Mus musculus: one gene and its partners. The protein of the gene in region 1 purifies or fractionates together with the protein of each later gene. This does not show direct contact. Links are inferred from orthologs where the notes say so. Each region holds a gene or a part of one and is shown in the gene's direction. Other genes may lie near its edges.

Region 1 (3,466 bases):
TTGTAGCCCCACCTTCCGTTGTTCCTTCTTTTCTGCCTGTTCTCCCCTACCTGGCTTCCCACACTGAGTCTGGGTCTCAGGTGATACTGGGGCACCTCTCCCAGCTGTCTCTCTACACCCCTAGAGCCCTTTGAAGATGCACTTCGGGTGCCACCCCCACCGCAGTCCATGTCCATGGCTGAGCAGCTGCAAGGGGAGCCCTGGTTCCACGGGAAGCTGAGCCGGAGGGAGGCCGAGGCGCTGCTGCAGCTCAATGGTGACTTCTTGGTGCGAGAGAGCACGACCACGCCTGGCCAGTATGTGCTCACTGGCCTGCAGAGTGGGCAGCCCAAGCACTTGCTGCTGGTGGACCCTGAAGGTGTGGTAAGTGTGACAGAGGTGTGGCAGGGGCTGGTGTGGTTTTGCTTTCTAGACTTCCTTTGCCGGAGGCTTCCTGTGGACTCCTTTGCCCTTGCTGGACACTTGCATCCACCTGCAGTGGCTCAGGGTTCCTTCCCTGCTGTCCTCGAGTCTGAGCTGTGTTCTTCTCAGTTCTGACCAGTCCTCACATCCCAGTGAAGCCTGCCAGCCCCCAGAGAGTGCTTACTTGATCTTTTGCTAAGTGAGGAAATGACACTGGAAAGGCAGTGGTGCCCAGTGTCAGTGGTTAGGGGGTGGAGACCCCAAATTTTCTCTTGCAAGAGGAGTCAGGAGCCTCCCTAGCTCCTTAGCTTCAAACTCAGGGTTTTGTTTTGTTTTGTTTTGTTTTCAACAAATCTAACCTGCCTTACTATTCCATACAACCTTGGTTTCTTTTCTTTTTCTTCTTTTTTTTTTTAGGGGAGGGGTGGTGGTGAGGTTCAAGACGGGGTTTCTCTGTGTAGCCCTGGAACTCACTCTGTAGACCAGGCTGACCTCGAACTGAAGCGCTCCGCCTGCCCTGCTTCCCCAGCGCTGGGATTAAAGGCTGTGCCGCCACCGCTCTGCTCAGTTTCTTTTCTCTTCTCAGCATTTTTTCCACCTTGGTTTTGCATTGTGTCACTTTTGAGAGACACCAGCTTCCTTCAAGTCAGAATTTTCACTGTCAGCTTCCGTGATTTCTGGTCTCCTTCCCCTTCGCCCAGTTCACTGCCCATTCCCACCCATGTGACTGTCTTTTCTGTAAAGATGCCTGGATAATCACGGCTGCTGGCCCGCCTTCCTCAGTCTTCCTGAGCTCTTCTCTTGACCCAACCTTCTCTCCCTGCCTCCCAGGTTCGGACAAAGGATCACCGCTTTGAGAGTGTCAGTCACCTGATCAGCTACCACATGGACAATCACTTGCCCATCATCTCTGCGGGCAGCGAACTGTGCCTACAGCAACCCGTGGATCGGAAAGTGTGATCCTTCTCAGCTTCTCCAACAGGATGCTCTCCATTTCCGTCTCCCGTATTCTCTAACTTGTGGGACCTCTGTTTTGTGGGTCTGGCCTTGGGTGGGAACTGGGAGCAACGAGGACATGGGTTTAGTGCCCACTTGAGAGAGAGAAAAAGAGGGTTTCAGTAAGGAGCCTGGGGTAGCATCCTGCCTCTGGCCAAACTTCACCAAAGTATTAATGTGCAGAGTGGTCCCTTGTCTGGGCCTTGCCTGTGCCAACCTGATGCCCTTCCCCCCCAAAGGGTGGGTTCTTATAATGGAAAATGCCCTGTGATGATAGGCCCAGTGGAGCAACTGCCCTTTGGGGGAAGGGAAATAATTATACCTCTGGTTTACTCCTGGGTCTTCAGGGTACCCCAGATCCCGCATAACATATCCCACTCCCTCTGCTTCCCCTTAAACTTTGTGCCTTTGACTATCATAGGTCTGCAGATACTTAATGCAGAGTTCTCAGGCCCTTCACGTGTGGACAGGGGTTACTGCCACCTTGGCTTCTGGAGCCCTGTCCTATTCAGCACCCCTTCCTGTGTCTAGGGAGAATAGGGACAGGAGTGGCCGCTATCTGCTCTGCCTTTCGGATGTGCAGCCCTTAAGAGATTGCCCCAAGCCTGAATATGGTGGCGCACGCCTTTAATCACAGCACTCAGGAGGCAGAGACAGGAGGAATTGTGAGGCCATCCGATCTACAACAGAGTGAGTTCCAGGACAGCCAGGGCTATGGAGAGAGAACCTGTCTCCAAAAACCAAAAAGAGCGATTACCCCAGAGCCTTCTTCCTGATGGTAGCGGGGAGGGGCAGGACTGGACCCATCTTGCTCAGTGCCTCCTGACCTCAATGCCTTTCCTCCAAGGGGTCTGTATACATTTCTCAAGCCTGCTCCTCCCATGTTTGCATGTGTGTTATAGTCTACAGCCAAAGTATAGCCCTCACTGTAACCCCATCCTGCCTCCCTCCTTTGGGATAGGTGTGTGCGTCTGACTTGGGCCTCCAGGGTGTGTACAGTCAGTGTGGGTTTTGTGGAGGCAATAAGACTGAAGCAGTAGACAATCCCCAATACCATTTGCAGGTCTGGAACTGCACTCTCTTTTTTAAAAAACATGTATACATTTTAGGGCTGTAGATTTATTTTCCTGGTTTTGTTTTTCATTGCTGACTTTTGAGCACAGAATTATGATAATCAATTACATTTATACATCACCTCGATGACTTTTCCAAACTTTTATTTTTTTTTTTAAACAACTGTTGGGATTTTACTCCCTGGCCTTAACTAGGACAGGATTGTACCCCACTCCTCCCCCCCCCCTTTTTCTTTTTCGCCAAGACAACTGAGCAGAAATTTGGCTGAGCAGTGTTGTGGGACTATGATGTGATAGTTTTAGATCCTACCTTCTGCTTTCGGGCAGCTGCAGCCAGCACAGAAACCTTGCAAGCTCACTCTGTGTGTAGGCTTTCTGGACAAGGAATGGTCGCCAAATTTTTGGTTTGGATGTCTTATACCAAAGGGAAATAGTCTTCATTAAAGTTCGTATTTCTTTTACCTCGGCCTCTCAACTCCTCTGGAAAGTCTGATTGATGGGGGCTGTCTGTGGGAGGTGGTGACGGACCCCATCTGGGCTAGGTCCAGTGGGCTCCAAGCCAGCGCCAGCCCGCAGGCACCAGTTTGCAGAGATTTGGGGAGCTGCGAGGCTGTGCGGTAGGGACGTATCTGCAAGGCGACTGGCTCGCGGCGGGAAGGGGCGTGTCCGGACCGCCCCCAGGCCCACCCGCAGCTCGCACGGCCCCTGTCGAGTGGTGCGTTCCACTCTGCTACCGGGCTAGCTGGGCGGCGACAGGCGCACTTCGGAGGAGTGGCGTGGCGAGGCCCAGCCTTCCTGGGTGCGGCGTCTGGGCCCTTCCCTGCTTTCCCTCCCCACCGCGTTCCGTGGTGGTGACCCATTGGAGTTCCGGTTCCGGTTGCTGTGGCTGCGGGCGGGCGGTGAGTCTGGAGCAGGCGCGCAGTTGGTGCAACGGCTCTGTGCTTTCCCCCTCGGCGTGGCTAGGGCTTGCTGCTGCTCGGGGGGGCTGCGCTGCC
Region 2 (4,011 bases), on another chromosome or scaffold:
CACACTGGCCGTGGGAGGGTCTGGCTCCCCTGTGTCTGTGATATCTGTCTCTCCTCCCTTCCCTAAAAGGCAAGCCAGCCTGTGCTTAGAAGCCAGGACTCTGCATTGGCTTCCTCGGGCTGTGTGCCCCCAGGCAAATGGCTTCACTTCTCTTTGCTTCTTTTCCTGTGTGGTTCAGGGGCTGGTGTCAGTGCGGTCTGCAGCATGGTTGCTGTGGTAAGGTGCTGACAGCTCCCCTGCCTGCTCTTCTTCCTCCTGTTTGTCTACACATCCCTCCTTTGCCTCCCACCACCTCCACCCTTGTCCCCAGAGCGCCGCCCCGAGCCTTCTGTGTGCCTGGCTCTCTATGTCTGAGTCAGACCTTAGGGCCGCCCTGTCCTGCTGAGAGGGAGTGTGACGGGGACGGTGACTCAGTCATAGACTGCCAACAAGGGCTGTGTGTCAGCATCATGGGCACCTCGCGGAGGTCCTAGTCCAGTTTGGGAGACAGGAGAGCTCCTGGGGATGGCAATCCAAATGGAGACTCAGAATGAAAAAAATGAAAGTGCTGTCCGGGAGGCCATAAGTGTCTCAGTCCTCGGGGAGAAGGAACACCTATGCCTACCATTCAAGCCCCTAGTTACCACACATCTGAATGCATTAGGTGCCAGGCCCAACAGGGTACAGAGATGAGGTCACTGTCAGCCGCTGGCAGGCTTCCTGGAGAAGGTTGTTGGGTTTTTTGTTTGTTTGTTTGTCTGAAACAGGATTTCTTTGTATAGTCCTGGCTATCTTGGAACTTGCTCTGTAGATCAGGCTGGCCTCAAACATATAGAGATCTGCCTGCTTCTGCCTCTGGTGTTCTGGAATTAAAGGCTTTTGCCACTACTGCCCAGCTTGCAGAGGATTTTCGAGGTGGAGTCAGAGGGTACCCTGAGGAGTGATTTTCATTCGATCTTCTGACCAGGGATGGAGGAAGGATGAGACCCAGCTTCGTCACTTCAGTAGTTCCTCTGTGCTGAGAATGCAGGAACCATGGTGGTTCAGGCTGTAAGAGGTAGAGCCCAGCAGTAAGAGAGGCTGTAGCCTGCCCTAGAGACTGTCACACAGGGAACTAGCAGAGACTTCTGCTCCACTGTTACCAGCATAGCTTGGAAAAGCGAGTGAGGTGGTGGGCACAGTGCACACATTCAGGAGGCTGAAGCAGGAGGCTCTTGACTGAGGCCGTCAGGCTTAGTTCTGGTCCCACCCTCAGGCCACCCTATATTCAGGCCTTGGCTTCCCCTTTCTTGTCAAACCTGACTCCCGTGGTGTCCTGTCGTAACCGTGTGTCCTTCAGGGGACAGGCCCCTCTGCTGCTTCTGTCTACCCGCCCATCACTCTTTCCTCCTGCAGATCGTCTCCTCAGCCTCCACTGACCTCCAGGACTACACTTACTACTTCGTTCCTGCACCCTGGCTCTCTGTGAAGCTACTGCGGCTGCTCCAGTGTTACCCACCACCAGGTAAGGCCCATGGACTGCCAGCATCCATGTTCCCACTTGTCCTAAGCGAGGCTGTGCCTCCAGACTCGTGGAAAGCTATGGGTGAGAGTGGGGGGCACAGCCTGGTGCCCTGCCCCATGCAGCACCTGGGGTGGCACAACTCGTCCTGTCTTAGGCCCGTAGCTCTCGGTCCTGTGGAGTGAGCTGGTTAGTGTGCTGCTTTCCAGCAGAGGGCCGTTGTCTCACTCTGCCTAGCAGCTGTCCTGTGCAGCTGGGCTCTGCCTAGTATCCCTCCCCTGCAGCAGTGAGGCACTCTGGGGACTCCAATCAGCTTTATTTCTGTTAAACTCATAACCCCTGGCACCCAAACAGTGTGCAGTGGCCTTCGCGGGTGGTAGCTCAGAGTCCGTCTCTTGAGCTCTATGGTAGCTCCTTGGGAAAAGCTTGAGTGCCGTGTGGCTCTGGGATAGGCTCCTGGGTTTTCCATCCTTCTGTGAGAAACCTAAGGAACATCAGTGCAGCAGAAGGGGAAACTGAGGCTCACAGGAGTGGAGACTCATGCCAAGCAGAGTCAGTATGGAATGAGTAGGAGCCCAGACCTAGAAATTGCTGATCTACATTAAAAGGCAGAGGCCCAGCCTGGGACTGCCAGGCTTGAAGACAGCTGGGCCCCTCCATGGACGGTGAGAGCTAGAGCAGGCTGCAGTCTTTGGAGCCCACCGAACAGAGGGCTCAGCCTCTTTCCCTCTCTCTCCCCCAGAGGATGCAGCCGTGAAAGGGCGGTTAGTGGAGTGTCTGGAGACTGTGCTCAACAAGGCCCAGGAGCCTCCCAAGTCCAAGAAGGTGCAGCACTCCAACGCCAAGAACGCTATCCTCTTTGAGACCATTAGCCTCATCATCCACTATGACAGGTGCTGTGGGCAGAGGTGTGGGCAGGCGGGGCCACTGGCCTGTGGAAGGGAGGCTGGCATCTAACACCTGGGGCTGAGGGACAGCAGGGCCTGGGCAGAGGACAGGTGTGAAATGGTCCCCTGCGGTGGCTGCAGAACAGCTGGCTGCTTAGCTTGTTAGTTTAATCCTGCCTACCGAGGATTGAAGTCAGGGCTGGTTTCCACTGGCCGTATCCCCACTCTAGTGCTTCCCTCTATCTGGGCTCCTGAGGGTTCCTAGGAGGGACCCAGTAGGATGCTGGGTGGGCAGAAGTGAGAAACTGGATCCTTAGACTCACATCTTGTCTCCATGTACACTTCACTTGTGCCTGCCAGTGAGCCCAACCTCCTGGTCCGCGCCTGCAACCAGCTGGGCCAGTTCCTGCAGCACCGGGAGACTAACCTGCGCTACCTGGCCCTGGAGAGCATGTGCACGCTGGCCAGCTCCGAGTTCTCCCACGAGGCCGTCAAGACCCACATTGATACAGTTATTAATGCCCTCAAGGTACAGCCCTCTGCCCCACTCAGAGAGGCCTGGTGCTTGATGGCCTACAGTGGGCCCAGTACCAGCTTAGATCCCAGCTTACTCCTGCTCTCCTTTCCTCAGACGGAGCGGGACGTCAGTGTGAGGCAGCGGGCGGCTGATCTCCTGTATGCCATGTGTGACCGGAGCAATGCCAAGCAGATTGTGTCAGAGATGCTGCGGTACCTGGAGACTGCTGACTATGCCATCCGAGAGGAGATCGTGAGTCTAGAGGACAGGGCTGGACACCTGAGTGTGAGGGAGGAGGGCTGGGGTCTGGCCCCTTAGGTTGAAGGAGGAGTCTGGGGAGGGAGAGCCCCCCTGGGTGTTACGATGGGGCCAGCCATGATCATAGATCCAGGACTGGCAGTAGTCACCCTCCCGTGGGCATGATTGTCCTCACACATCGCCACCTCCCATCGCAGGTGCTGAAGGTGGCCATCCTGGCTGAGAAGTATGCAGTGGACTACAGCTGGTACGTGGACACCATCCTCAACCTCATCCGCATCGCGGGCGACTATGTGAGCGAGGAGGTGTGGTACCGCGTGCTGCAGATCGTCACCAACCGTGATGACGTCCAGGGTTATGCTGCCAAGACAGTGTTTGAGGTTAGCAGCCTTCGCGTTGACCCCGTAATGGAGCGCGGCTGCCAGTCAGGAGCAGCTGGGCAGTCGTCTGCCCCTCCAGCAGGTGCCAGCTTCCTGCTCAGCCAGCCTTGGCTGAGTCACCCTAGGACGTGGGAGCTGCAGCCATGGTACCTTCCCAGGGGGCGTGAAGCAGACACAGCATCTGTGCAGGAGAGCTGGCCCCTTCATTCCTCCCTGTGCACTGCTCCACAGGCTCAGGGGTTGCAGTCAGTCGTGACAGGGAGTGGATGGCTGCAGGGATGTGTGGTAGAGTGCCCGCTGGGCTAGGGCAAGAGTCTGGGTTTCAGTCCCTGCACTCATGCAGAAGCTGTGTGTGTGCGTGTGTGCGTGTGCGCGTGTGCGTGTGTGCGTGTGTGCGCGTGTGTGTAACTCCAGCACTGTGGGCCAGAGATAGGCAGGTTCTGGGAGCTGGCTGTCCAGCGAAGCTAGCCAAAATGGGAATTCTGGGTT
Region 3 (4,688 bases), on another chromosome or scaffold:
TTTCAGCTCTTGGTGGGTGCCTACTTTCTAATGCCTACTAGAATCCTTGTAGCCAACTGTGATTGTAGGTGGAGACCGGAAGAGGGTCTTTAAATTATTGTGTGTGTGTGTGGGGGGGGGAGACATCAAACAAAAGTGAGCATTTGGCTGAATAAAATCGAGTGTCAGAAGACAAAAGGAACAGTTAGCCTCCGCAGTGTCATGCTCATTCAGGGAGGTGGGTGGCTGATCTACCTCTGACCACTGTCTATCAGAGGACCCCTTTGTAGACAGGGTAATTCCAACCTCAGACTGAAAGTCAGGGTGGGATGTGAGCAAACCCAAGAAAAACATGGGTCTGCAGGAATGAAAAAGAAGTGAGAAGGAATTTTAGCTATTCTGTAATTGTCTCCTTTGCAAACTTGTGATTAAAACACACCTACTGGGTACAGTTGAATACTGTGATATGGCCATCTCAAAAAAAGCTCATATATGTGTCGAATATTCCAGACCTTTGTTTGCTCGTTTGTTTGTTTTAAATTGGGCACTTTTCTTAACCTATTTCTAAGATTGTTTAAAGTGGAAAATTTCTTGCCACTTAAGCATAGGCAACACAAGTCCTCTTAGTGTGTGTTGGTCCTGGCTCTAGACATGGACTTCCTTTTAGTAACGCTAGGTGGCAGTGATGTATGTATGCCCTGAAGGCGCCACCAAGCCAGGCTCATTCAAACTGCTGACGCCATGCCTTGCAAATTATTAGGGACTTTTCCATAGCAGTCATGTTGCTGGCCTTGCTAATTGGTCTGAGGACCTCGGTGGTGAGGACAGGATTGCAGAACCCCACCTACATTTTTGTAACAGTGTTCGATGGAGGAAAAGAAGAGCGAACGTAGAAGAGCTGCGAGGTTGTGGCCTTGCCAACTAGGGATACAAACTCCAACTCTAAACAAACACTTGAGGTGTTCCCAAAATATCTCAGGCGGCCCACGGCTTCTCAAATTCTGTGAGCTGCCAGTGAGGCGGTCTGTCAATGTTCTTTGCACTTGGTCTCAGGAATATTCATTCTTACCAGTAAGAAGCACTTCGGTCCAGTACTGATTTTCTACCAAGGATTATCTTTTCTCGGGGAAAACGAGCGGAATCCGAAGCTTGCCTGCTGAGTGTATAGCCGCGTTTGGTTATTAACTTCAGTGGAATCAACTGACAACATTCCACCTCATCGCCACAAGCAGCCAGTCAGGGTGGCATGCTCCTGTAATCCCAGCTACTCCGGAGTTCGAAAATCGAAAAATATTCATCAGCTAGTAATATCTTTGCAAACGTCCATAATTTAAGTTAGCGAACTCGTGTGGTGAAAAAGCGCAGTTTACAAAACATCAACTTTTAAAATGTAGTTTCTGCACCGCTCCATAAAGACCTGCACACACATTAATATTCTCGCTCTCTTAATATTTACAGTCACAGTATATGGCCAGCAAACAGGATAAAAATTAATCTGTTACTCGAGCAGGGTAGGAAAGGCACAACCTTGTCACTGTGCCTGTCCGCAGGGAAGGCAGCAAAGCATTCAAATTTGGAGAGGAGTCCACAAAGTTTCAAGACCCAAGCGTCTACCGAGGCACAAGAGCAGTGAGCTTGGTCACCGACATCTTGCAGCTAGGGAAACCGAGGCAGGCCATCCAGGGGAGGTCGGGGCGGCCGACCCTCTGGCACAGCCCTGCTTCCGCGCCACCCGCCCTCTCCGCCCGCCAGGCGGCCGCAGGATTGAGGAAGTGCGTCTGGCCCCCGGCGGCCAGAGCATTGCAGGGCAGAGTACGGTAGGACCGGCAGGCCCCGGCCCTCTGATGTCGCCGATCCGCGGCTTCCAGACCCTGCCGCCGCAGGTAAGTGCTGCTCCGACCCGCGCCCTGTCCGAGGACCCGAGCGAAGCCCGCACCTTAGATCCAAGCTTTGCCCGCACCACCCCGTCCCGCGCCCGGGTCCCCGCGTGCAGCCGCCGTCGCCTGCTTGTGCCCTGCGTCTCGCCTCGCCCCACAGCTCCTCTCCCCAGCTCAGCACCCCGTACCCCGGGCGACCGCGTGCTCCGGACCCCGGCCTGTGTCCGGGACCCGCAGGTCACAGCTCCGGTGGGCGTCTGGAACTCGGGCTGCCCGGGGTCTCTTCGCTGCCTCTCTGGGCTGCGCAGCGACCCTCGCCCCTTGAAGGGTTAAAGCGAGTGCAGAGCTAGAACCCGGGAGCTGGGGCAGCCGAAAACCAGCCTGGGATCGGAGCGGGGCGGGGGCGGGGAGCCGAGTTCAGAAACAAAAGTAGGAAACACTAGGGAGACTACAAAGTTCTTTTGCGTTTGGAAAAAAAAAAAAAAAAAAAAAAGCCTGACTTTTAACTTGGGAGTGGGGGTGGGGTCTAAGCGTGGGAGTTCGTGGGCGCGAGTGGCTGGAGGCAAAGGCCCAGCGAGGCTCTTCCCGCGCGTGCGGGACAGCCGGGTGGTGCTGGATGGTCTGGAGGTCTTCCCCTGCTCCACGCGTGGGGCATGTTTCTCACCCTGTGGTCCCATCACTTTGCCTATGGGCTCTGTTGCTTGGAGCCAGTGGCAGTCCTTAATGGATGAGAACAAGAATTCCTGGAGGGGCAGTAAGAAAGACAGCAATGGAGAGACTCTAGGGATGCTGACAGCCAGTTCAGTCTGGCTTTTAATAGTTTGAGGCCATTACGTTTTTCTCTTACATGATGCTCATCCCTGCAAAAACCGGAGCAGGATAGATAGGGTCTTAAAGGCAAATTCTCTTAGCAAATTCTCACCAAATAACCTATTTTTGATGAGTTGGTCACTCACACTCACATAGCAGCATCAAAGGACCTACGATTTGTACACTTTGAAAAACTTTAGCATTGAATTCTTTCTGTGATTTGGTTTTCATTGTCCTTGCTCATGTTCCAGAAGAATATAGCATACCAACACCTAATTTGTCCTTAGAGGGGCTTTTCTAGTCAGCCAAACGTTTCCTTCCCCCACACCTACAACAGTCTCCTTAATAGTTTGGATATAATTATTATAACTAACTAAATAAACCAGCTAAGGAGATGGCTCAGTATACAAAGCACTTGCTGATCACGTGTGAGGATCTGAATTCAGATTCAGAATCCGCTTAAAGCCAGATGAGACAAAGGTGCAATCCCAGATGCCCCCACTTCAAGATGGGAGATTCCCTGGAAGCTCACTGGTCAGCTAGCTTTGTGTGGGCAACATGAAGAAGAAGCCTTGTCTCAAACATGGTGCAAAGCAAAGACCAACAGCAGGTCATCTGATGATCTCAACACACACATACGGACGCCACACTCACACACACACACAAACATACAAACAGAGAGAGAGAGAGAGAGGGAGAGAGAGAGAGAGAGATATTAAAAATAAGAAGAACCCTAGAAATCATCCCAGAGTAGTCTTGTTGGCTCCATCCCCAAGTGGGCCCAGTCCATTCCCTTCTTCTGTTTTTGAGACACAACAGGGCTGATGCACATACGAACTCCTACACAGTCCAAATTGCCATGTGCCCCTCCCTCCGCTCTGGATATATCGTATATATTCATTCTTTATTTTAATGTTTCTTTTTAAAATTACGTATACAATATATTTTTTCATATGCTTTTCCCTAGCCCCAACTCCTCCCAGATACTTCTCTTTATGCATCCAACTTGATGTTCATTCTGTCAAAAACAAAACAAAGAATACTAAGGCAAACCAGACAAACAAAAAAGGCACACAAAAATCATGGATCTCTCTCTCTCTCTTCTCTGTCTCTGTCTCTCTGTCTCTGTCTCTGTCTCTCTGTCTCTCTGTCTCTGTCTCTCTCTCTCTCTGTCTCTCTCTCTCTCTCTCTGTGTGTGTGTGTGTGTGTGTGTGTGTGTGTGTGTGTGTGTGAGCGCGCGCGCGCGCGCGTACTAGGCATAGGGCCTACCCTGGAGGCATTCGTATGTGTGTGTGAGGCTGATTCTCCTCATCCCAGCTGGTATCACAGTTGCACATAGCTTCTTGGTTGAGAGGTGGGACTTTGTGCCACTTCCCTTTCTTGGTGCTGGGATTTTTGTCTGGTTTGCACCTGTTCAGGCCCGGTGCTTGCTTCCACAGTCTCTATGAGTTCATACGGGCATCAGCCCTGCTCTGTCTTACAATCTTTCTACCTAATCTTACCCATAGATCCCTGAGCCTTGAGGGGAGGAGCATGACAAAGAAATCCCAGTTCGAATAGAGTGCTTCAAAGTCTCTCACTCTCTGCACACTGTCCAGATTGTGGGTCTCTGTGCTAACTCCTATCTACTGCACGAAGCTTCTCTGAGGTGGACTGATTTGTGGGTATGGCCATGTGTCATCAGGAGCCATTTTATAGCTGTGTCCCTTTATTGGTATACCAGTGGGTTTCCCCACGGGGACAGAATGGTGTGCATACATTCTTAATGGCCCGATGATGGGCTGTGTCCTTCCTCTTCATGGTGTCTCCAATACTCTCATCTTGCGGTTGGCATGAAATCTAGGGGCACTCTTCCCTTTCATTCCAGCTCTCTGCCATCCCACTGGCCCTAGCCCACTGTTCCCAGCCTCTCTCTCCAGCTTGAGGTATCTGCTTTGCTGCCCCATGTCTCTCCATGTGCCTCCCAAACCTACACAGTCTCTCCCTTTCCTTCTACATCGTCCTCATGGCCCCTCTGTCCAT
Region 4 (4,621 bases), on another chromosome or scaffold:
CTATTCCCATCATGTGTCTGCTTAGCTCTGTTCTCAGCTTACAAAGGGGAAGCTGGAAACGGGAGTCCAGCAGAGATTCTGGAGAAAGGGGTAAAAATTCACACTGCCTACTATGATATAGATTGACTGGGTTGGGGTCCCTTGGACGAGGATAGTCCATTAGGAAGTCAATCTGGAAGATACAGAAGAAACAAAAGCTTGCATTTCGCCCAGTGCTGTATCCTACTGATGAAGCCAAAGAAACTATTAGTGGCTTCCCAGAGGCAGAAGCACCCTCTAGCCTTCGGCTAAATTGTATTTGTGTTTATTCTGAGTGTGTGCCTAGGTGTGTGGGCTGCATGGATGACTTGGCACAGGTGTGGAAGTCAGAGGACAACATGCAGGAGCTCTCTCCTTCCACCACATGGGTCCCTGGGGTTCAACTCAAAGTCTTCAAACTTGGCAAAAGCGCCTTTACCTGTTAAGCCATCTCACCCCAATGACACAGTCTTTAGCATCGCCGTCCTCTCAGGAAGCTGTAAATATATTGATTTTGGAGGGTCGTGACAGCTTTTCTCCAACTCGTTCTCCTTTCTTTCTTTGAGGCCACATCTCTTATGTAGTCTTGGATGGGCTGGAAGTCTAGACCAAGGAAGCTGGCTTACAACTAGGTAGAGTTCCATTTGCTTCTGCCTCCTGTGGGTCGGGAATACAGGCATAGGAAAGTAAGACCCCACTGCACACCCCCGGGATCTGGGGTGGGCGTCCTCCATTCCCGGCGGGAGGAGCTGGGTACAGATTGGAGGATGTTACTTTATTTAAGCCCTGGCAGGACCAGGAGAAACAGGTAGGTGGGTGGAGGATCTCTGTTTTTGTATTTATCTGTTCTGGAAGGTCCCTACAGACCCGTCACGTCCCAGGCTTTGTTCTAGATGGGTTAAGCCAATGCAAATTGGCTTATCCTCTAAACAGAGGGAAACTCCTCAGGGTTGACCCCAGGCTCGGTCAACAGGTTCAATTTACCAGAGCGAAAGTTCTCTCCCAGGTTAAAGGGATGCTCCTGACAGACTCTAGGAGTTGGTGGTTGTAGGCAAGCGGCTAGAGGCCTGCGCCTTTAAGGAGCCAGGGGGCAGAGGGGCGGGGCAGGAAGAGAAATCCTTGGAGACGCCACCACCATCCAGGTCTTTTTTTAGGGGGGAAATAGGGCGGGCCAAAGCCCTGTTTGGGTTCCGCCCCGTCTTCTCCCGCCGGGTCCCCTTTTCCGCCCCAGGGGTCGGTGGATGGGAGGTCTTAGCAGCCAGAGTCTTAGGAGCTCCCTGCTCGCACCTGGCCCACGGAAGCGCAAGTTTGTTGATTTGGAGGGAGTAGCCGGAGCGGGGGCGGTGCTAATAATACCCGTTCAGTCCCCAGTCGCGCTTTACAGTTTACACAGCTGTCACCTTCGTTACTCCTTAATTAATAATAAAAATAGCCGCCGTCCCGGAGCGCACGCTGCATGCCAGGCCCTGAGCTTTACAGGCAGAGCCCCAATGAGCCCGCCCTCGTAACGTTACCCCAGTTATCGAAAGCGAGAAGCTCGGGCGCACTGAAGAGCCAAGGCTGTCCCGAGGTCACTCTGCGGGCGTGCGGCGGAGACCGGGACGCGGGCGGACGAGGCGGGGCGCGGGCGGGGCGGAAGGCGCGGGGTGCGCGGTGGCGGCGGATGGCCATCTTAAGTGGCCGCGGGGAGTCCAGGGAGGCTTCCCCGGGCTAGGAGTCAACCCGAGTCGCCCTAGAGGTGGGGCCTGCGTTCGGTAGTTGAGGCTCTGAGACTTGAGGGAACTTTTTTTCTAGGTAGTCGAGGGGGTCCTCCTGGTCTGGGACTGCAAAACCTGGGCCTGCGGGTGTGGGGCGTGGTGCCAGGCAATTTGGTGGAGATGGGGGAAGGGTTTTGCCAGGCTGGAGGGCCTGCGGGGACCGGTGCGTGAAAGGCACCTCGAGCGCGCGCGTATGTGTGGGGTGGGGTATCGGATCTCTTTGGGATCTTGTGGGATGTGTCAGGAATCGTTTTGGGGGGTTCAGGTCTGAAGGGGCCTCTGACCTTATAGGAGTTACGAGAACTTGTTCTCTTGGATGTTGTAGTAGTTGTGGATGTCTATCCTGGAGCCTTGCTTTCCGAACCTTGATCCCGCAAGGCTGTGGGGGTGCCGAGTAGAAGAGATGTGTGTAGTAGAATCAGATTTGCATAGGGATTAGGGGTCATCTCATTGCGAATCGTTGGAAGGATTGAATTCACCAGCGAGAACTTGGACTCACAAGTTGTCCCGGAGCGGGTACCGGGGAACTGGATCTTCTTGAGGTGGGGGGACAAAATAATTGTGGGACTTGGGAGGTGCTGGTCTTGCGGGTCCTGTAGGGCTGTCGGAGCATCGTCCTTGCCGAGAGAGGCTGGGGGCAGGGGCGGCCCGGGCTCTGGGCCGAGTGGAGGGGGAGGGGACCGGCCAGCTCCTAGCTCCGTTCCCGCCCCTCCCCCGCCGCCTCTGAACAAACTTTTCTTTCTCTTCAAGTTGAGGCCGGCGCTGCGGGCGGCGGCGGCTGCGCGGAGATCCAGGCGGTTGGCGCGGCCAAGCGTGGAACCCACATACTGGGTTCTCTCGGGCTGGTGGATCCTTAGTCCCGGGACCCGGGCCCAACCTCGACTTCAAGCTTCCCCGGGCGGATGGCGCGGAGCGGCAGGCATCGGCGGCGCTGAGCCCTGCGTGGGCCATGGCCTCAGTGTGTGGGACACCGAGTCCCGGGGGTGCGCTAGGCAGCCCGGCCCCAGCCTGGTATCACCGTGACCTGAGCCGCGCTGCTGCGGAGGAGCTCCTGGCTCGGGCGGGCCGCGATGGCAGCTTCCTGGTGCGAGATAGCGAGAGCGTGGCGGGGGCCTTCGCACTCTGCGTCCTGTGAGTAGGGCGGGCACACGCCGAGTGTTCCTTGGTTGTGGTGGCAATCGTGGTAGTGGGGTGACTGTAGCTGGTGGGGCTGCAGCCCTGTCTCCAGGGGAGACCTTGACTTTATCGCTGGGTGGAGGAAGGATACAGGGGAGCACTTCCTGCTGTGCCTGGAGCACTTTCTGAGGCCCGAGGCCAGAGTTCTGAAGCTCAGGGTGGGTGTGATGGCAAGAAACAGTGGCAGACGGCGGTAGACCAGCTTAGACTTTCTCCCAGATGTACAGGGAAAGGATGCATGCTCCACATGAGTGCAGTTCGTTTTAAAGCACTGCAGTAGGGGGCAGAGAGACCAGTGTTTGGACGCCTGGGCAATTCTGCGACTATATATGATTGTAGGGTGGAGTTGAATAGTGTGTGTTGGGAGGAAGACTTGGGGGAGGCAACAGGGTGAAGCTGTGTGGGACAGAACCTTCATTTTTTTTTCCTTTCTTTTTCTTCCTTTCTTTTAAGATTTATTTTCTGTACACTGTAGCTGTACAGATGGTTGCAAGCCTTCATGTGGGTGTTGGGAATTGAATTTAGGACTTCTGCTCGCTCTGGTCAACTCTACTCACTCAGGCCGGCAGATTTATTATAAATCAGTACACTGTAGCTGTCTTCAGGCACCAGAAGAGGGCATCAGATCTCTTGACGGGTAGTTGTGAGCCACCATGTGGTTGCTGGGATTTGAACTCAGGACCTTTGAAAGAGCAGTCAGTGCTCTTACCTGCTGAGCCATCTTGCCAGCCCTCAGAACCTTCATTTCATGAGTCAATGAGTGAGTCTCTCTTGGCTCTAGATTGAGCTCTGGTTATCTGGCCGTGGATGAGTGCTGAGCCTAAAGCTAGACTTGGCAGTCTTCTGAGTGGGCCAGGTTCTGTGACTGCCCCTGGCAGCTGTGTGTGGTAATGGTTTGTAGTGTTCTTTCTGACCTCTACTCCCTGCCCCACAGTTCCACACTAAGTGGGCCCCTGTGAGAAGCATTAGGGGCTTGCGTTTAGATTTAGTGAAAATACTCTTAAACAACCCATTTCCTGTCCCATCTTTCTCCTTCTTCTGACACCTTTGGGAACAATTTTGATTGTTACTCTTGGGATGGGGCTGTGGGCATTTGGTGGAGAGGAGACAAAGATATTGCTACATATTTGTCATACCTAAGATGACAAAGGATTTGGTGGTTCCAAAGGCTAGTAGTAGTGTTGACAGTGAGAACGCTGGCCAAGACAGTTGACCTGCTGAGTGAGGGGTTCTGGGAACCTCTCGGCTTCTGCAACAAGTCGGAGGTCCACCTAGTGTGGAGAGACTAAAGCCAGACATCTTAATGTCCATAAAAAATCCCAAGACTCTGCCTCCTAGCTACCTCTAAACAGATCCCTTAATTAGGGAGGGGACAGGGCAGGTGCTGGATCAGCTGCTGAGTGGGAGGGGGACAGCTGAGGCTTTCTCTGGGTAAGGAACTATTGTCCAGTGAAGAGAGATCCTGGTTCCATTGTCAGGAGGAGTGTGTGTGTGTGTGTGTGTGTGTGTGTGTGTGTTTATAGGGAGGCAGATTTCAGCTCTCAGGAGCCTGGCAGAAGGGATCAGAAGTGGCTGGTTTCTTAGGTTTCCCAAACACATGCTTACGTATACACACATCACAGTACACAAAGAACATTCAAGACACACCCCTACCCTGACAGACAAACTTG
Region 5 (4,011 bases), on another chromosome or scaffold:
ATGAACCCAGGTTCTTCTACCCTGCTGGCTATGGAACGACCAGGGGACAACTCCCAGAGTGTCTACATCCCCATGAGCCCAGGACCCCATCACTTTGACCCACTTGGCTACCCGTCCACAGCCCTTCCTATTCACAGAGGCCCCAGCCGAGGAAGTGAAATCCAGCCACCCCCGGTCAACCGAAACCTCAAGCCTGACAGAAAAGGTAAGCCCACTTTTTGCCCCATCTCATCTCTGGATAGCATTTGCTTAGAGATTGGGTAGATACTGGGCTTAGAAGTATGTAACTGTGCAGATAATGTAAATTCACACTTCGGATTTGTTTATAGGGAAAGTGTCCGGAATGCTTCACATAGTCCACTGCAGGTGTGCAGTAGTAGGGCCATCGTCTGTGTGGAGATCAGGAAAACATGCTAGAGTCCAAACTGGACTTCTGCTGGGATTGAAAAGGAGAATTGGGGAAGTTAGACAGAGATGGAAGCCATGGGTGTGACTCTGACTATGTGACCTTGAGCCTTACAGGGTCCTGTGCCCCTTTGCTTTCCTTCACTGTTATTTGTATAACACTGTCCAAAATCAACAGCAGTAGTCACAATGACCATCTCTATTGTGAATACAATCTGTTCTCATGAGAAGTCATAAAACCTAGGGAGAATCTTTATTGTCAGACCCATAAGTCCCATTTTGGATTCTGGAAGTCTTGATTACTATAGATACAGTGGGAAGGACACATACTTTAGAATGTGACGACAAAGACATAGACTTAAGTATCTAGAGTTTGATATCTGTGGGAGTCCTGAAACCAAGCCATCTGTATGTCCTTACTGAGCCTCAGATGCCCTGTATAAAGCTGACAGCGTTTGTACAGTGCTGGCGTGTTACATATAGTCTGTGTGTGTAGTGTAGTCACTGATCCCTGAACTCTGTTCCTGCTTTAGCAAAGCCAACACCCCTTGACCTGAGAAACAACACTGTCATCGATGAGCTGCCCTTCAAGTCACCTGTCACCAAGTCTTGGTCCAGGATCAAGTGAGTGACTGCAAAACCAAAAGTTTGGGGTCAGAATTGGGTGGCATGATAGCTGGCCTAGCAGTCAGGACACCAGGACATTGATGATAATGCTATCAGGAGCTTTGTTCGGTTTCTGGTCTTTGCTACAAAATATATGGTATAAACACTTCAAGACAAGGATAGATGTGTTTTGGTTCATGATTCAGTCTGTGGTCACTTGGCTCACTTGAGGCCTGTGGCAAGGCAAAAACAGGATGGAGAGAGCATGACAGCCAGAAAACAAAATGTATGCCTGTCCTGGCTGTCCCATTCAGCCCCTGTCTACTTGGCTGGTACTATACACATTGAGGGTGGATCTTCCCACATCTGTTGCTGTGCCACATGCCAATTATCGTCCACGTTTTGTTAATCTGTCTCTTGATCTCTTGGGAATTGTTTTCCTCTTCTGTGAAGGGGAAATGATTAAAATGTCCCTATATTAAATCTATCTGATAATGGAAGTGTGAAACTCAGGTGAGAGGCCAGGTCTGGGGTTAAGAACCAATACTTCTCAGGGTTCACTCTCTTTTTTTTTCTGTCCAGCAGCCACACCTTTAACTCCAGTTCCTCCCAGTACTGCCGTCCTATCTCCACACAGAGCATCACCAGCACAGACTCGGGAGACAGTGAGGAGAACTATGTCCCTATGGTGAGTCCTTGAGAGTCACTGGACCGTCTTCCATTTCTTCTTCCCAGCTCAGGCCATGGCCATAGACGTCAGCTTCCTGATGCAGACCCTTCCTAGACACATGACTGTCAAACAACAGGGTTATTAGCCATTAGAAATACACAGCTTTACCCCCAAGGACATCTGTGTTTTAAAGATCCCAGGTGGCCTGCCTTTCTCACTACTCTAATTTAGGTGACATTATGATGGGTGTCCTTGGAGAGACAGTGTTGGGGAGACATAGAGATATATAACTCCATGCAGTGTGATGTAGTAGTAGAAATACACACAGAGCAGAATACAGTTCCTCTCTGGGGTCATTAAAAAGGGTACAGCTGCCAAGGCTGCAGAGGTTCGAGAAACAGATCAGTCATTAAAATGGGACTATCACTTCTTACTACAGTCAGATCATGGGCACGTTTTAGACATAAAGTGCTCTTTTAAAGCTGAAGACAGAGCCCTAGAACTTCTCACGTGGGAAATGGCTGAAGAAATGAAGGCCTGTCACCCAGAAACAAGGTGACTGTTCAGGTCTCTGGAGAAGAGCAGAGAGCATGAGCTGCTTGTGTCCAGGTGTGCTAGGAAGCTGTGCATTACCAAGTGTGGAAGGATGTACTCACCAGGGACCTGCCAACCGAGGCTGGGGCTTTAGGATAGACAGTACCTAAGACTTGCCCCTAGTCTGCCTAGGGTGTGGGGAGCAGGCACATGGATTAGCACAGGTTTGGTAGTCAGAGCACATCCCTGGCTCTTGTCATGCACCAGCTATATAAATGTAGGTGACTCACTGTACTTCCTGAATCTAGTGTTATAACCTCTAGTGATTTGAACAGTGGTGATATCCACCTCTCAGGGCTGCTGTGAAGACATGAATGAGAATATGAACAGTCTCAGTGCACTGGCTCAGTGCAGGACACAGTAGAGGAGCTCTTGCCCCTGGAGGTAGTTTTCCAGGTGGTGGTTTAGGTTGTTAAACTTACCCAGTTTTACTCTTTGTCATAGCAAAACCCAGTATCTGCATCCCCTGTTCCCAGTGGCACTAACAGCCCAGCTCCAAAGAAGAGTACTGGCAGTGTGGATTATCTCGCCCTGGACTTCCAGCCGGGCTCCCCAAGCCCTCACCGCAAGGTACCTGGGAGTTTGGAAGGAGGGAACACATCCCAGCAGCCCCTCTGCAGAGACATTTTATATGAGCATTGCAGAGCGTCAGTCTACTCATGTCCTTGCCGTGGGATATACTCACAGGGATTAGTCATGATTACAAAGGAATTCTGTCAACAATGTAGGAGATGGAGATCCTCTCTTCCTTTCCTTTGAGAGAGACAGAGAGAAACTGTCTGAATGAGACACAGCATCCCTTGGAAGGGACTTTAGGGCCTGGGAAAGCCTCACCAAGAACCACTTTCAGCCCTAAAAGCCAGGGAAGTCCACCTCAACACACTTTCCCTCAGTGTGTTGTGAGGGCATAAAGGCCTGGTGCTTATTGTCATCCAACACATCCCTTTCCCTGGAGGTGTGGCCAAAGGAAGATGGGTGGAGGCACTATTGAAAGCCTGAGCCAGAGGCAGGGCCCAGGACTGGCAGGTTATCCTGAAAGCTGAGAATGAGGTGTCAGCAGGCTTGGTGCCTCCAACAGAAGACTACTTCACTTTGAAATCCACCTTCAGCACAGACATTCAAAGTGATAGCCTTATGTAGGTAACTCAGCCATTTCTTTTGTCCCCTCAGCCATCCACATCATCTGTCACATCAGATGAGAAGGTAGACTATGTCCAAGTGGATAAAGAGAAGACCCAGGCCCTGCAGAACACCATGCAGGAGTGGACAGATGTGCGGCAGTCCTCCGAACCTTCCAAGGGTGCCAAGCTGTAATGAAGGGGGCCACCAAGTTCAAGAGCCATGAGGCAGCTGCCCAGACCTGCCTCTTCTGTCACCTCTTTCTCCATTTCTTCCTACACCTCTCTCCCCTGTACCACTTTCAGCCTTCAAAGCACTCAACATCAGGGACCTGACCCTTTCCCATCAGAGGCAAGGGCCTGGTGGAGACACTTCCTCTGCCACTTGGGTTCCACCTATGACTTCTGTCAATACTAGCTGTGCCTCCACCACCTTAGTTAGGAGCTGTTGCCAAAAAAGCTTCCTGCTTTGGACCCATTTGTCTGCTGCTTGGACTCTTAGAGGGAGGGCTGAAGCTCTGAGCTAGGCTCATGCCTCGTGTCTGCTCACTGCTCTCTACCCTCTACCTCAGGGCTGCTTCTCCATCCCCAGCGGAGAATGATAACCCAGGGAGCCAA
Region 6 (4,011 bases), on another chromosome or scaffold:
GCTTTGGCTTATCTGAGGGGGTGTTTGAAAATAGATGCTAACATATGATTGTTATTAAAAAGAAACTTGGGGACAGAAGGACAGATGTTTCTGAGTGAAGTTGTTCCCAAGACCCTAGAGATCACACCACACATAGGACCCGTTATATCAGGTTAACAGTAGCTGATCCAGATGAGGGCAAGTTTAGAAGGGAGCTCTGGGCTTAGCCATGACCAGGAAGTTTCCTATCACAGTCAGTGGGTATGCTTCTATAAGGATGCCTCTGTTGTTTCCAAAACTCTGTTCTTGGAAGTAGGCCAGAGCCAAGTACACTTGTTTAAACTCTGATATATATAGTACATGGTGGAAATGACCACGTTCTGCTAAGTGTGGAAGAGATTCTCTCAACATGATTCTTCCTGATGCTCATCAATGTTTCTACTGCAGTTGGGTGATTTTCAGGAGCACGGTAAAGCTCAGGCTTTGCTGTCCATGTAGACAAATGGCCTTGGCTTTTCGTAGGATATTATTGTTTGGTTTGTGTTTGAGTGGAAACCACGAAGGAGTTTTAGGCCCATCAGACTCTACTATTATCTCAACCATTTACTTAGTTATAGGGTAAGGTGCTTAACCTGGACTGCAATCACATCACATAAAAATAAGGCTAATGGCGTGGCTCTCATTATATGTGACTGACAGTAAATATTAGAAATGATATAGTTATCCAAAGTTATGTAAGTCACTCCTTACATAATTGTCCTGAAGTTTTGTCTTTCCTAAGGGAAAACATGAATTTTACTCTTAGAGGCTACAACTTTCCAGAGAAGAAGTTACTCTTAGGGAAAGCCTTGTGGAATTGGAGGGAAATAAATCCTCTAACCTGAATAAAACCATCCCCAAAGATTCCCAAGTACTGTGTGATTTGCATGTGGGGTGGCTAATGTGAATATTTAAAAGCCTCTGTGTCTGTCTGAAGTGTCCTTTCTTATTTTGTTTGACTTCACTCATCCAACAGGGTTGCTGTTGCCAAGTTCGGTGTAGTTTGAGCTTGGTTTATTAATGGGCTCCTGCTTATGAGGTTTAGAACCGTTTAATAGTCACAGGACATGAAAGCTGTTTGAGCCGTGGGCTTTACAGTTTTCTTTTTATGTGCACAGAGCGCATGGCACCCATGATCACCGGAAATCTGGAGAATCAGACAACAACCATTGGCGAGACCATTGAAGTGACTTGCCCAGCATCTGGAAATCCTACCCCACACATTACATGGTTCAAAGACAACGAGACCCTGGTAGAAGATTCAGGTGAGTGAAACTTGTCTATTTCTCTGGTTGTAGAATTTTTCTGATGGATGCTAGGTAAGACTACCATCACTTATTGGCTTGTTTCAAAGTAGACAGAAGGCAGTATTTAGGGGACTCGAAGAAATGACTCAGTGAAATGCTTGCCGCACTAGCACAAGCACTGCATTCTCATCTCTAGAAGCCAGGTAGAAAGCTAGACTCAGCATCCTTCTGGAATCTCAGTACTAAGGGGCAGGGTGGGGGGATGGGAAGGCAAATGCCTCCTTGGAGTTCACTTGCCAGTCTAGCTGAGTCATCAAGCTACAGATTCAGAGAGAGAGAGAGAGAGAGAGAGAGAGAGAGAGAGAGAGAGAGAGCCTGTCGCCAAAGAATAAGGCAGAAAGCTATAAAGCAGCCACCTCACATTGACCTCTGGCCTCTATACACTTGCATGCCCTCCCGTGGAACACACAAATGTGGGTACAGGGTCTGGCTCATTTCAGAGTCACAAGCAGCTTGTTTGGAGTCCGGTTGAGTTTGCATGTAGATCCCATGGGAGAGCAGTCAGTAGTCAACCTTGTGCACCTCTTTAGAGTTAGGTAATGGTCTGAGATAAAGGGCAGCAACTAGTTTTTATTTTTAATGCCATGGACAAAGCATCCCATCAGAAATAAAGCAAGAATTTCCTTCTTCCTTTAGGCATTGTACTGAGAGATGGGAACCGGAACCTGACTATCCGCAGGGTGAGGAAGGAGGATGGAGGCCTCTACACCTGCCAGGCCTGCAATGTCCTTGGCTGTGCAAGAGCGGAGACGCTCTTCATAATAGAAGGTCAGTGTGATGTCATAGGCTCATCAGATGGTCTCTGGCAATTCGATCGCATTGGACATAGCTGCACATACTTTGAGTAGGATGCCTTGTGGGTGACTCATGGTGACACTGGTGGTTGTTAAGCCTCGTCTCTGAGATGTTCATTTAAGTGTCACACAAGTGTACATAGCCTGAAGGCAATTTTACACAATATTTTTCAGTGTACCTACCTTTTTTGACTGGGATCTGTCACATGAAATTAGGGGTCGGTGCTCAGAAAGTTTTAGATCTTATTCGTCTGTGAGGTCTGAGTTACGGTTTCTCCACGTGTTCTTTGTAATCTATCTTCAATGGCTCTGCGTCCTTTTAACCAGAAAGCAAAATTAGCACGCGCTTCAGTCTGTACCATATTTTCTGTCCACGTAGTCATCACTGTGAGAAAACTATTTGCCATGAGTAAGAAATGCCTTTCTGTTCCCGATTCTCACTTTGTTTGAATGGTTAACTCACAGAAATGACACTTCAATATATACCTGGGGAAAAATAGATTTGGTGTTGGGCATTGCTATTCAACTAGTGACAAGGATCAAAGGTTCAGGATTTTCCCCAGAGCAGAGACAAGATTCACTCATAAACAATAGATGATTAATAGGTGATTGCTTTTGTGATATGGACAATCCGGGGTTATAATTGAAATATGAAAGGAAACTTCGTTTCCCCTGGCTGTGCGTGTGCGAGAGAGTGTGTGTGTGTATGAGTGTGTTTTGTGTGTGTGTGTGTGTATGGGTGTGTTATGTGTGTGTGTGTGTATGATCGATATGAACCCTAACCTTTGTTTTTCAGTCAGTATTCTGTGTCAGAACATTTCATCTTCAGAAGAGCGTTCCTGGATCTTGTTTTTGTAATACACTAAGGGAACAATGTGACTCTATTGTGTGAGTGAAGGAGTGGTGTGCAAGGGGGTGACTCAGGGTGGTTAGAGAGGTAGGTTTGGCAGAATTCTAACATCTCCAAGTCTAAATGTTGGCCCCTTTCATCTGCCCAACTCACCATGTCCAGTGCTGCATCTAGAGCCACTAGCATGCTCTCAAATCTCTAAGATGGTTAGGATTCTATAAACTGCACCTGCAACTGAAGATGCCAAAGTGCATGGTAGTTCTGTCACTACCAAAGTGGTTCATGGCTTGGTGCCAAATCCAGGGAGGATGCACCCGCCAGTTCTCTCTGGTACTCTGCCTCCACCCACTAGCCATCTGCATTAGGTTATCATGCCTATGTGGGCACAGTGGCATAGATACTATGGAGACAGGAAAGGGGTGGGGGGGAGCGAGAGAGAGAGAGAGAGAGAGAGAGAGAGAGAGAGAGAGAGAGAGAGAGAGAGAGAGAGGAAGAGAGGAAGAGAGGAAGAGAGGAAGAGAGGAAGAGAGAGGAGAGGGTAGACATTGAATGCTTCTACAGAAGTTCAGCTGTCAGATGTTAATATGAGACTATTCACACATAAACTGATTGAGACCATTGAATCTTTGACCTTTCTTCTGTCTCTTACATGAGTAGGCTTTTAAGCCTTTACATACAGGTAGAACCATTACTTCTCTGGAAACATCAGAGAAACCAAATCCACTTACAGATGCACTCAGAGCTCACTCCCAACTGGTAACTCTTATTTTGCCAACTAATTAATTGCTTGTCTTCTGGCTTCTGGCTTCAAGCCTCCCAGCTTGAGGCTCATTTCAACTGACACTGCACAGTGTGAGTGGAGAGACTGAGACCCTAAGTGATAATTGTTTTCTCTTAATCACCTGGTGCTAAGCATTTGGTGCTGCGAGCCTCCTGCCCGTATCTCTCCACTTGGAATGTGTTCTGGAGAGCAACCTACAGTCTTACTTGCTAGCCTTTCCCTTGCTCCCTCCACACATAAGGCCTTTATCTTGGCGCTCTC
Region 7 (4,540 bases), on another chromosome or scaffold:
AGTAGGAGGATCAGAAGTTGAAGGTCATCCACAGCTCTGTAGTGAATTGGAGGCCAGCATATAAGAGTATGCAATAGTAAATGAATGAATATGCCTTCCTGGGGGGGGGGGGCAAAGGCAGACTGGTGTCTGACAGTTTGAGGCCAGGCTAATGTACACAGCAAGTTCTAGGCCACCCAGAACTGCATAGTGGGACCTTGTCTAAACAAACAAACAAACAAACAAACAAACCAAATCTCTCTTTCCTTTTCACTTATCCTGGGAATTGGATTTGTTGTTTCCCAGAGTCTCTTGTAAGGTCTTGCCTTGAAGCTCAGCTGTCCTGAAAAGGGAGAGAGGATAGTCATTTGCCCCAAAGGGCCAGAATTTACACTGGATGGCTTCTGCTGCTAGTTCCTGGTGACTAAGCTAGATCAAGATGAGTCACTGGTAACAAGGAAGGGGCCCTTTTCCCTGCTGTCTCTCCCAGGGCTGGCCCAGACTATGGGTGGGAGCTCTGGAAGGCCGGAGCTATTGACTAGGCTAAGGATAACTTTGGTTTTGTAGTGAGACCGGGTCTCACTATATACAAAACACAGTAGTAACAGCTATGCAATGGTGGCACACACCTTTAATCCCAGCACTGGGAGGCAGAGGCAGGTGGATCTTTGGGTTCGAGGTCAGCCTGGTCTATAAAGTGAATTCCAGGATAGCAAGAGCTATACAGAGAAACCCTTCCCTCCCCCATTTTTTTATTAATTTTTTGAGATAGATGAAGATGATCATGAAGGAAGTAAAAGTAGGAGATACACCTGGCTACAACTGAGAGTTTAAAAAAAAATCTGGCTGGTGGATATGGGAGCCCCAATAGAGAGAACTCCATTTTTTTTTTTTTTTTTTTTTGGCCTGGCTGGGCATTTTGTTTTCTTTGCCTTGAGTACCCTTCCCCACTTCATTTAACATCCTACCATTCACCCTAGGTCATCTTATCTGTGGACCCCTTCCTCTTATTTGTTTTGGTTTTATAATACAGGGCCTCAGACTCACAGGGATCCTCCTGTCTCAACTCCTGAGAGGTTGGGATAACTGTCATGAGTCACTTTACCCAGCCCTTGGGTCTCTCCAGGACTACTTAGTTGATTTCCTTGTGTTTCTGCCCCCCCCCCGCCCCCATAGCAGATGTTGTTTCCTGGTCCCTCCCATAGGTGTGTGAATTCAGTGACTTAAAGCCAGTCTGGGTCAGCACTGCACCTGCGCGGCAAATGCGGTATCTGTGGCTGCTCATAGATAACAAGAACTTCAGCTGACCTCGGGGGAAACCGAAGGAAACACGGGGAAAAGACCAGCAAGTCAGGGAGCTTTGAGGGCGACTATCATCCTCGGACCACATCATCTTTTTTAACTTCAGTCCTTTTCTTGGTGTTGCTACTTGTAGGTTCTGGGAGAAAAGACCGGCCGCTACCAATCTGTCAAACACGGATCAGTCAATTTGTAGGTTGAGGCTCCGCCCCTTAGACCTAGACTCCGCCTCCCCATCCTCCGCGGTTGGGGTCTGGGCCTGGCGGCGACGCCCAGGACGCCGCATGCGCACTGAGGGCCCCAAGGACTCCGTTTCCCTTCTCCCAATGGCGGGCGTCGGTCCCCTTCCCGGCAGCCTCCCTCGGGTAGAGGGCGCGTCATTTCCGGTGGGGAAGGCCCGCGGCCGCCGCCGCCATTTCGGGCGCTGCTGGGAGGCTGACACCGGAGCCGGTCCGCTGGGCGGCGGGCGCCAGGGCTGGAGGGGCGCGCGTGCCGGCGGCGGCCCAGCGTGAAAGCGCGGAGGCGGCCATGGCGGGCAACTTCGACTCGGAGGAGCGGAGTAGCTGGTACTGGGGCCGCCTGAGCCGGCAGGAGGCGGTGGCGCTATTGCAGGGCCAGCGGCACGGGGTGTTCCTGGTGCGGGACTCGAGCACCAGCCCCGGGGACTATGTGCTTAGCGTCTCCGAAAACTCGCGCGTCTCCCACTACATCATCAACAGCAGCGGCCCGCGCCCTCCAGTGCCTCCGTCGCCCGCTCAGCCTCCGCCGGGTGAGGGACAGGCGGGTGGGAGGCCCGGGCGGGGGTGAGGGCCGTAGAACCCTGGTCTGCTGCAGGAGGGACGTGGGCAGAGAGGGCTAGAGTGAACCTGGCGGGGGAGCTGTCTTCTGAGCAAGCTGGTTCCCACCGATGAGCGGGATTGTGGGGGAGGAGGAGCTGCTCACCGAGGCCTCTGGGTGTGCCTTGGGAGCCGGGGAAGGGGAACTGCTGCGGCCCCGGGGTGGGGCTGGGCGCCAGGGTCAGGCCCAAGGGCAGGGCAGGGCTAGGCAACTTGGGGACAATGAGTTAATGGGGATGTTACGGGGACATCATTTGGCAGTGGTACTCAGAATGGCTCTGCTAATCCTACAAGTGGCTTTTAGGCTTGAAACGTTTCCTGCAGTGTTAGAGCCGGGTTTGGCCATACTCCCCTGGTGGCCTTCGGTAGGAAGTCACCACGTACTGACTGGCTGGCTGGGAGGGATGGAGACACCCTCAGGAAGCCGGTCAGCTTTTTCCTTTCTTGGGCATTTTTCCAAAATATCTTTACCGTGCTCTTCCCTTGTGGAAGGTGGTGAACTAAGTGACTTGGTGATAGAAAAAAAATCCTTCTGTGACCAGCCCCGCGTAATTGAAGCCTAGCAGGCAAATTGTGTCCAAGAGGTTTTAAGTGTCCAAAAAAACTGCCCGCTGCAACTAGAGTTTCTAGTTTCAAAGTGATTAGTGGAGGAAGATTTTTTTCCTTTAGAAAACAAACAAACAAACAAACAAACAGGCATAAGCCAGTGAGAACAACCTTGGAAGTGAATGGCACTTCATTCTCCCTGGATTTACTTAAAAAGTGTCAGACACGTACTTCTGGGTCTTTTCTTGCTCTCTAAGTTGGTGTTGTGGTCAAAATCTTCCAGGATATGAGAACAGACCTGGCTAGCAGATAAACACCAAGAATAATTATCCCACTGTTTCCTCGTCAAGGACCATTGAGTTTTAACTGTCTTAGCTGTCTTATTGCAGTTGTCTTGGCAATGTTAAGGGAATTCATGCACTTAGCCCTTGACGTTTATGAGATGAACAGTGATTCTGAGATTTCTGTTGTCTCTGTGTATAACAGCACCAAGCTTCTTGCTTTCTGGATGTTTGAAGTGTAAGCTTTTTCCTTCTAGAGCTGAGCTAGTCTCATGAATGGAGACTCACTGGTTAGCCTTGTAGCAGACTTGCATTTTTGGGATAGCTCTAATTTAGATTTACTCCCTTTGGCCACAAAGTGGGATTCGACGGTTCTTTGTGTTAGCACACAAGTTAAGGGGAAAATTTGAGTATTGAAGTCTTTTTAGTTAACAGATATAGACCTTTCTACGTCTTGTTGTTTTTTTTTTTTTTAAGATTTATTTATTATATGTAAGTACACTGTAGCTGTCTTCAGACACACCAGAAGAGGGTATCAGATCTCATTACAGATGGTTGGAAGCCACCATGTGGTTGCTGGGATTTGAACTCAGGACCTCTGGAAGAGCAGTCAGTGCTCTTAACCATCTCCAGCCCCTTGTTGGTTTGATAATATAAAATCAGATAGGAATATTAATGCAACACAATTGCCCTAAACAAAGTAAATTCTATATTTGTGCTATCTGTAAAATAATCTATTGTTTTGTGCTAAGTGCAATAGTAAGATGAAATAGTAAGATGAAATTCAATTCTCATCCAGATTTCATAGTTCATGCTTCTAATCTTGGCACCTAGGAGGCTGGTGCAAGAAGATTTTTAAAAGTTCCAGGCCATCCTGGGAAACTTAGAAAGACTGCCTCAAAGTAAAAGTTATGTGAAGGGTTGTGACTGGGGATCTAGTTGAGTGGTAGTTTATTTGCCTGGCATTTGGGCAGGCTAGGTTTTATTCCCAATAGTTGGGGGTGAGGGATTCAGTCCTCTGCTTTCTCTGTATTTTATTAGAAAATGTGGGAAAAGCATTAGGCAGGCTTATTAGTTTAATAGTTCTCTATACCTGGGCATTGTGGTTTTATATCTCAGTAGCTCCACCTTTTCAAAATAGGTGGTTGGCCTCAAAGAGGAGAAGATTGCCAGTTTGTGGGTTAGGTGTGGAAAGTTCATTGGCTTTGTGGCAATTTGTTCTGTCACGTTCCCCAATTTCTCTATAGGTCAGTCAGTTCACTTGCTAGTTTTTGTTGTTGTTGTTTGTTTGTTTGTTTTTTGTTTGTTCGAGACAGGGTTTCTCTGTGTAGCTCTGGCTGTCCTGGAACTCACTTTGTAGACCAGGCTGGCCTCGAACTCAGAAATCCATCTGCCTCTGCCTCCCAAGTGCTGGAATTAAAGGCATGCGCCACCACTGCCCAGCTGCTTGCTGTCTTTATGATGGTTACTTAATCGCTGTCCTTCTCCCCATTAAGCTGGTTTTCTTTTGAAGCCACACAGGAATTACTTGAGTTTTAGAGAGGCGTGTATAGTGTATAATTTTAATAGTTAACACTTATTGGTTGATTATTGTATGCT

Evidence for each region.
Region 2: the proteins of Shc1 (region 1) and Ap2a1 purify together in Homo sapiens (affinity purification with mass spectrometry; 4 studies listed by BioGRID and IntAct, counting the BioPlex papers as one, with this or other methods). This does not show direct contact. The link is inferred for Mus musculus from reciprocal best matches to the Homo sapiens genes SHC1 and AP2A1.
Region 3: the proteins of Shc1 (region 1) and Lrrk1 purify together in Homo sapiens (affinity purification with mass spectrometry; 3 studies listed by BioGRID and IntAct, with this or other methods). This does not show direct contact. The link is inferred for Mus musculus from reciprocal best matches to the Homo sapiens genes SHC1 and LRRK1.
Region 4: the proteins of Shc1 (region 1) and Inppl1 purify together in Homo sapiens (affinity purification with western blotting; 4 studies listed by BioGRID and IntAct, with this or other methods). This does not show direct contact. The link is inferred for Mus musculus from reciprocal best matches to the Homo sapiens genes SHC1 and INPPL1.
Region 5: the proteins of Shc1 (region 1) and Gab2 purify together in Homo sapiens (affinity purification with western blotting; 6 studies listed by BioGRID and IntAct, with this or other methods). This does not show direct contact. The link is inferred for Mus musculus from reciprocal best matches to the Homo sapiens genes SHC1 and GAB2.
Region 6: the proteins of Shc1 (region 1) and Kdr purify together in Homo sapiens (affinity purification with western blotting; 3 studies listed by BioGRID and IntAct, with this or other methods). This does not show direct contact. The link is inferred for Mus musculus from reciprocal best matches to the Homo sapiens genes SHC1 and KDR.
Region 7: the proteins of Shc1 (region 1) and Crk purify together in Homo sapiens (affinity purification with western blotting; 3 studies listed by BioGRID and IntAct, with this or other methods). This does not show direct contact. The link is inferred for Mus musculus from reciprocal best matches to the Homo sapiens genes SHC1 and CRK.

What each region holds. Positions count from the first base shown.
Region 1 is NC_000069.6:89,427,084-89,430,549, forward strand, and holds the end of Shc1 (SHC-transforming protein 1), read left to right. Parts: intron 1-124; coding exon 125-363; intron 364-1,233; coding exon 1,234-1,362; 3' UTR 1,363-2,946; downstream 2,947-3,466. UniProt on the Homo sapiens protein: Signaling adapter that couples activated growth factor receptors to signaling pathways. Participates in a signaling cascade initiated by activated KIT and KITLG/SCF.
Region 2 is NC_000073.6:44,905,196-44,909,206, reverse strand, and holds part of Ap2a1 (AP-2 complex subunit alpha-1), read left to right. Parts: intron 1-1,374; coding exon 1,375-1,483; intron 1,484-1,777; exon of another isoform or gene 1,778-1,964; intron 1,965-2,222; coding exon 2,223-2,373; intron 2,374-2,727; coding exon 2,728-2,896; intron 2,897-2,978; exon of another isoform or gene 2,979-2,998; coding exon 2,999-3,136; intron 3,137-3,339; coding exon 3,340-3,522; intron 3,523-4,011.
Region 3 is NC_000073.6:66,385,394-66,390,081, reverse strand, and holds the start of Lrrk1 (leucine-rich repeat serine/threonine-protein kinase 1), read left to right. Parts: upstream 1-1,740; 5' UTR 1,741-1,862; intron 1,863-4,688.
Region 4 is NC_000073.6:101,834,856-101,839,476, reverse strand, and holds the start of Inppl1 (phosphatidylinositol 3,4,5-trisphosphate 5-phosphatase 2), read left to right. Parts: upstream 1-1,652; 5' UTR 1,653-1,756; exon of another isoform or gene 1,757-1,812; intron 1,813-2,059; exon of another isoform or gene 2,060-2,525; 5' UTR 2,526-2,724; coding exon 2,725-2,906; exon of another isoform or gene 2,907-3,219; intron 3,220-4,621. UniProt on the Homo sapiens protein: Phosphatidylinositol (PtdIns) phosphatase that specifically hydrolyzes the 5-phosphate of phosphatidylinositol-3,4,5-trisphosphate (PtdIns(3,4,5)P3) to produce PtdIns(3,4)P2, thereby negatively regulating the PI3K (phosphoinositide 3-kinase) pathways.
Region 5 is NC_000073.6:97,301,431-97,305,441, forward strand, and holds part of Gab2 (GRB2-associated-binding protein 2), read left to right. Parts: coding exon 1-205; intron 206-938; coding exon 939-1,029; intron 1,030-1,593; coding exon 1,594-1,699; intron 1,700-2,719; coding exon 2,720-2,845; intron 2,846-3,445; coding exon 3,446-3,589; 3' UTR 3,590-4,011. UniProt on the Homo sapiens protein: Adapter protein which acts downstream of several membrane receptors including cytokine, antigen, hormone, cell matrix and growth factor receptors to regulate multiple signaling pathways.
Region 6 is NC_000071.6:75,954,236-75,958,246, reverse strand, and holds part of Kdr (vascular endothelial growth factor receptor 2 isoform 1 precursor), read left to right. Parts: exon of another isoform or gene 1-882; intron 883-1,136; coding exon 1,137-1,283; intron 1,284-1,961; coding exon 1,962-2,093; intron 2,094-4,011. UniProt on the Homo sapiens protein: Tyrosine-protein kinase that acts as a cell-surface receptor for VEGFA, VEGFC and VEGFD. Plays an essential role in the regulation of angiogenesis, vascular development, vascular permeability, and embryonic hematopoiesis.
Region 7 is NC_000077.6:75,677,618-75,682,157, forward strand, and holds the start of Crk (adapter molecule crk), read left to right. Parts: upstream 1-1,641; 5' UTR 1,642-1,806; coding exon 1,807-2,047; intron 2,048-4,540. UniProt on the Homo sapiens protein: Involved in cell branching and adhesion mediated by BCAR1-CRK-RAPGEF1 signaling and activation of RAP1.